Linked DNA regions of Schizosaccharomyces pombe. The gene in region 2 interacts genetically with the main gene of each other region. Each region holds a gene or a part of one and is shown on either strand. Other genes may lie near its edges.

Evidence for each region.
Region 1: mutations in ysa1 (region 2) and sap14 together harm fitness less than expected from each alone (positive genetic interaction), as found in Schizosaccharomyces pombe (one large-scale study listed by BioGRID).

The regions. Positions count from the first base shown.
Region 1 is NC_003423.3:2,049,492-2,053,080, reverse strand, and holds sap14 (Pre-mRNA branch site p14-like protein), read left to right. Parts: upstream 1-2,312; 5' UTR 2,313-2,385; coding exon 2,386-2,629; exon of another isoform or gene 2,630-2,722; coding exon 2,723-2,823; 3' UTR 2,824-3,084; downstream 3,085-3,589.
Region 2 is NC_003423.3:987,382-990,826, reverse strand, and holds ysa1 (subfamily NudF ADP-ribose diphosphatase Ysa1), read right to left. Parts: upstream 1,338-3,445; 5' UTR 1,270-1,337; coding exon 652-1,269; 3' UTR 501-651; downstream 1-500. Other genes in the region: Swr1 complex histone chaperone module subunit Swc2, read left to right, coding at 1-410; protein Nbr1, read left to right, coding at 2,990-3,445.

The DNA.
Region 1 (3,589 bases), 1.1 Mb from region 2:
CACATGCTTCTGCGCGACTTGGATGCACAAATCTTTTAAAGAATACATCGCTCATATGATAGTAATTTTTAAAAATTTCAAAGAAAACGATCGAATTAGAGCTCTATAGTCTTCAATTGGAAGAGTGCTTTTACCTTATTTGAATGTAAACAAAACCAATTCAACGGGGGAAAATGTGTTTCAAAGAAGGAAAGGTCCAGAATCTATCGATTAGCTAAATTCCTTTCCTTGTTAGTATATGCGTATAAAACGCGGAGAATCTAAGTGCGAGTAAAAAAAAATTCCAGATAATTGTTTGTTTCCGACAAGTTGAAAAAGACGGCGAAGCAAACCTATTTGTTCACTTATACAAATATATTAAAAAATAATTAAAATCTTTAATTTGTTAACTCGGTAAAATCGTTAAATTATCGCTAAATAAATTTATCGACCTTTATCAAATTTTCTTCATTCAATTTACGAGTTCTCAACCACCGTTTCGTTATAAATATTTGCGTATTCAACGTTAAAAACCGTAATTATCCTTCTTGCCTTTCCGGCCCAGTGGAAGTTCCAATGACGCCGCGGAAGGGCTGCACACCTCAGTAGCGAATATGGGGAAAGAGCAAATTCATGCTTGCCACGATGACTACCTGGATGCTTGATGTAGGTGACGTGTTACTTAAGATGAAAATGTAAATACAAGAGAAGAAATGGGTCAAGAAGGCGATTAATGGATGAAAAGAGAAATTATTCATAGAAAAATTTTTCCTTAAATATGCGCTTTTATTAATCTTTCGTTTAGGTTTTTTTCTCTCGTAAATTAATTCAGATATAGGTATTTAATCAACATTGCCAATTTCAACAAGTTTTAGGGGTTACGTGCAATAGTTTTATTGTTCTATTGTTTTTTAATTCTTCTCTCAATCCTAACTCTTGAAATTTTGTCGTACAAGACATTTTTCGCATTTCGTCAAGTTAAATTTTATGTTAAACTAGAGTTATTTGCGAATTAGGCTAATGAGCAGAAACCACTTGAATATACAAAATTTTATTTATTTATTTATTTATTTATTTTTTTTAAAAAAAGAGTAAATGGTAATTAATCTACTAGAAGCGTAAAAAGAATTGTTCAATACTTCAAAAAGAAAAATATGTATATCATATATCAAACCAGATTAGCAATCAATGCCAATAGCTTTATTCATTGAAAAAATAAAAAAAATAAAGAACGGTTATAGATGAGTCAATTAATTTCGTACTTTAACGTTAGTTGGTTTATTTCGTTTTTGTACAACATTATTTACTTTTTTAAATACTTAGTTCCTGCTTATCATAATGAATATAGCTAGCTTCATTAGTTAAAATTATTAGTATAGTTTTCGAAATTGTAAACGCTACTATAGTTTCTTTTTTCTGTAATTTCCTAAATTGCTTCAAAACAGCATTTGCAATGCAGCACATTCTCAATTAAGAGCAGTTGTAAGCAAAGAGCAATGAGAAATCTTTCAAATTAGATAAAATGAAGTACAGTAAGATCCACATATTCAACAAAGCTATCCTTTCCCTTTAGTGTCTCTGTTGCTATCACTTATATACGAAAGCATGGCATTGGAAGCGTAAAATGAATCATTAATTTTGCAGATGTAGTTTTCTGGGATCAGGAAATAAAAAATTTAAGAAATTTCAAAAGAACTTGAGAAGAAATTGATGAACTAGTTGGTCTGTAGGCAAAAGATCAATGATACCAAATTGTTTCCTTGATAAAAGTCCCATTGCCAAACAAGAGTATAAGTTAAAAGAAAGTAAAGAAATAAGGAAAAATATAAATTGATGATACAACTATACTATCAAACTATTCTTTGCAATTGTCAGTTTTAAAGTTGAAACCTATTTCCTGTAGGATAGACAAACGAGGAAGCAAAAAATACCAATAAAAATGTTTATGATTTTCAACTAGTTATGTATAATTTGAAAATCACTTTAAATTGACTCTCTATTGAAATCACCGCCATGTCAGTTTCAACTCTGATCAAAGATCTCATGAACTAAGGATTGCATTTGACATTTGGAGTTACCAGGTAAAAGAAGAGGAAAATTTTGGTAAAAGGTTGAACCGTTTTGTCTACGATCTGTTGGTCCATTCGATTTCCCAGCATATACCTCTTCTTGTCCAAACCACGAAACGTAACCTTTAATATTCATGTCTCAATCTTTTCTACTATAATTAAACTCACGTATAGGATTGACTATACAACATCAATCTCCAAGCTGTGATAACGAGTATTTTCCATCTGATCCCAACCAACCTTTTAGGAATATTTATCCTTTCCAAAGCAAACCAAATCATTTCTTTTCGAAATTTGATTTTTTTAACAAAAAGTGTTAAGATCGTAAAAATAACAAATGCCTCCATCTACAGTTAATCAAGAAGTCAATTCTATCCTATTCATCAAGAACTTGTCTTTTAAAATTACAGCAGAAGAGATGTACGATCTTTTTGGTAGGTATGGTCCTGTACGACAAATAAGGCTGGGGAATACGGTTCAAACAAGAGGTACTGCATTTGTGGTTTATGAAAACGTTCAAGACGCTCGTCGAGCTTGCGAAAAGCTTTCTGGCTACAACTTCATGGATAGATACTTGGTTGGTACGTTATCTTAGGGAATGTATTAGCTACTATTAATTTTAATTTCTCCTTTCTAACGGCTTTTTAATATCTTCTTGTTAACTTTTTTTTTAGTGCATTATTATAACCCTGAAAGAGCTAAGGTTGATGGTCAAGATTTGGCAGCAAGGTATGCCGCCTTGGAACAAGTTAAGCAAAAATACGGTGTTCAGTGAACGTTTACTATTTATTTACCAAAAAAAAACAAACAAATTAGGAGTCTGATATTGACTCCATTAACGTGTAATAGATTTCCTCTTTCTATAAATTCTGTTGAAGAGAACATACAGCAGAAAAATGAATCGGCTCATATTAAACAATCGTTTACTAGTGTTTCGAACCTAGGTATAAAAAAGGTACTATAAGGACTTGAATTTTATTATATTTCGCTTAAAGCTTTTTAGTAATAATAATGTAATGCATTGATCTATAATATAACAACGTCTACATGTAGTATTAAGATTTGAATCCCTAATAAAACGTATCCAAATTTGCCCAACCGTATTTCCCAATTAATAATTTTATCTGGCACAAACTTCAAATCATAATGAGCTAGTTTCCAAAGTCCAACCCTTCCAGCTTCATTACCAACACATAACTCACCACCCTTACCAAAAGCTAGGCATGTAACTCTGCCTAAAGGCGTAGCGCTGGTGGGCCAATTACGGAACACACTAAAGCTGGGAACATGAACGAGTCGTAGAGTATCCTTCTTTCCTCGAGATGCGATAGCTAAAACTTGACTATCTTGAGAAAAGCTCATACTATTTATGCTGAAAGTAATATTATCCAATGTAGTGACAGGTTTTGGTGCAGCGTCCGCATTGGATGTCTGGAGGTCATATATATTAACAATACCACTCTTGCTACCAATTGCCAAATACTTATTAGATGGGTCCAAACAAAAATGAGTGGTAGATACACCATCTTGAACTTGCCAAC
Region 2 (3,445 bases):
AGCAGCGTTTCGAGGAGGCTGCCAAAACTGAAGCTCAAAACCTTAGCTCCTTAAGAAACTATGTTCATTTGGAAGAACAAAGACGACTACGACTTAAACGGAATGCTGCTAAGCATCGCCAGTTACGTGAGCCAATTTTAAAATTCATTAGCAAAACTATTAGCACTGAAGATGGAAGGGAGGCTTCGAATTACTATGTTGCTCCGTTGGAACACCCTCTTTGTCATAGTGCTCCTCCACTTCAAATGCCTCAACATCGAGCAGTTGAGTGCGTTATTACAGGGAAGCCAGCTATTTACCTAGATCCAGTAACACAACTTCCCATTTCAAATGTGCAAGCATTTCAGCAAGTTCGTGAAGTTTACAACCAACGTTATTCATGGAGCGCAATGTTAAATCTTTTTCATTAGGCATGTATGGTAATGGTGAACTTAATAACTGGTATTTCTTCTTTTCTTTTGATTACTTTTCAGTTATGTACGCAATGAACTACGAATTATGGGGAACACGGTAACGGGAATTATTGGATAGACATATATATTATTTTTAATAAAGTTTGACTAAAACAAAGGAAAGTTATAGCATAAAAAGTCCATTAGCAACATTTAATAGTAAACGGTCGTAATTCAGTGAATAGCAAAAGGTGCATAGCTAAGACGACAAGTATTTAAGACCAGCATGTAATCCTAGTGCAAATGTGGAGAGACGAACATCAATGGCAAATCCCTTCTTCTCTAAAGAAAATAATTCCTCTTGTAAAGAAGAAAGCTTGATTGGAAAGTTCTCAATGTATTCGCCATCGTCAAGTTGTTGTTGAGGATTTTGGTTTTCAGGCTTCGACATGTCAATGTCAGCCAGTATAATCTTAAGATTAGCATTCGTAAGACCCGGATCATTGTACATGACAGTGGTGGAGTCCATAACAGTACCAACGTAGCCAGTCTCTTCACGAAGCTCTCGAATCGCAGCATCTTCACAAGACTCCTTAGAATCAACTAAACCTGCTGGAATTTCAATACAAAACTTGCCAATAGGAGGACGAAATTGCTTTTGGCACAACACATGAGGACTTCCGTCGATAGGAACAATGGCTAAGATGGCTACGGCATCCACATTGGCTTCTGAACGTGTCGTACGTTCAGCCATTTCCCAAAACCTGATTTTTCCTTTTTCGTCTTGCCAACGGATTTTCTTTAAGGATGTCCACTTGGCATCCTGATTCTCAAGGTTGGACACTTCCAAAACTTTAGGTTTTTGATCTTGGCTCATTTTATCAATACAGGTGCTCAAACCTTTGACAGTGTATGAAGGGTGTTGGAATGAAGTTGCTGATATTTGAAAAGAGAAGGTGGAAATAGCGATGTGAGAATATGAGCTAATCAATTTCGGAGGATGCTGGTGTCTACCAACGTTAAGTAAATATCGGGTTAGAAATGAAGTTGCATTTATACCTAATGTTCTTGTACTTTTAATAATATGCTGGAAAAAATTTCGGTGCATGAGTGACTTAAAATCCAACTGAAATATTGCTTACTTTTTTCCCGTTAATGCGTAAACGTGCGATTAGTATGACAATGTAAGTATGATGTTAATTTGTTTTGACGTATATTTACAAATTTCATTAATGTAAATATTAACAATCAGCAAAAAACCAAAATTATTATTTGAGCAAAATCATAACGCGGAGTATACCATTAATTATTAACTTAGCTATAAACTGGTCGTTTATCACCTTCTCTAGTGTCTTTTCATTTGCAATTGATTTTACAAACGGATCATCAAAAGATACCGTGACCGGTTTTAGCCAATATAATGGAGTTTTTCCTACCCTTTTCTATTATTGTAGTAAAAGATTTTACGCTGTAAGAGAAATTGCATTTATTTACGTTTTCAGTTCATAATCGCTTATTGATATTAGAATAGCGTCAACTTATGATTTAAGAATATATAATATTAATACTTTATCGACTCACATCTCATTTAAATTACATTTATGCCATAACCCATATCTAGTTTAATGTCTAAGCCGATTTCTAAGTACATTTTAGGGCTTAAGTTAAGTAGTTTCCAATTTAACTAAATCAATTTCTTTTTCAAGTTTGCTACATCAACAAAATTTTTCATATATTCATTTTTAGGGCCATGCGTTGAAGTACCAACCTCTTGTAGATAAATTCGCTAAGTTACTGTTTATGCTGTGCACGCTTCTAAACGCTACCACTTTTTAGCGACGCTTAACTTATCTATTATCAGTACGATATGCTCATCCCCCATATACGTGTGATAAGCTTACACCTCGACCTCGTTCATTTACATTACCATCAACTTCTACTAGCGAATTTGTCCTGCTCACTTCACCCGTTGAATACATCCCATTTAGAATTAATAGCTTGATTTCATAACCAATTAGGAACCCGTCATTATAGTTGCAATTCCAACGCTCCTTACATTTCGTTTGCACTGTATCTCTACACATCCGCTTCAATTATTTGTTTTGTCTTTATTTCCTGTTCCGTCTATAGGTAAGATAATTTACTTGCACAAAGTCTTAAGTTCAATGTTTGTACAACAAATTACAAAAAGGATTGAAGGACTAAAGTGGTTGATGGAACTTTAATAATAACATCTTCGATAAATATTTACGAGAACGTAAAAATCCTTGTCTTGATAAAGATTGTTTTTTCTATTGCCTTTACTCTGAAATTGCTAGCACTGTTGCTCACTTCGGCGTCACATATTTCCTCAATTTCAAAATTCATATGAACTATTAAATTTTACTTTGCAACTAATTTCATTAGTTAATATCGTTACTAATTTTGCTTTAGCTTATTTCGAAAGAGCTTTTTACCTACAATTAAGACCTTCTCTTACCTAAGAACTCGAGTTACTTCTTGACTGCTTACGCGATTTTTTTCTTTTTTTTGCTTTCTTTAACGCTCTCTTTTATCATTAAATTTTATTTTATTTTATTCACGTTTTTGATCCCGAAATGCTTTGCAATCGTACATGTCCCTCTTCTGATTGTGGGATTCTTTGCAACCATAGTGTTCCTTCCTTCCCTCCTTTTCATTCCTCAGTCGCTAATATCCACTTCACTAAGGAGAATAATTTAAAGTCAAACATTTTTGAGCACAATAATAATTCGCCTACTTTAAGGTCTTCTTCTGTTGCTTGTAACACTTGCCTCAAGATAATTCGGAATGACTCATTTCATTGCACAAAGTGTTTCGATTTCGATGTTTGTAGAGACTGCTATGCGAAACAGGCATTCCTCCATCCTTGCCCAAAACCCCATTTCGTACTTGTTCGCTCTTCAATCCCTTCAGTTGCTTCCTTAACCTGCAGCGTAAATTCTATGTCAGTTTCTCCCCAATCTAATTTTATGTACGCCATTTGTGACCATTGTGAGCAACCTATACATAATGTGCGTTACAAGTGTAGTGTT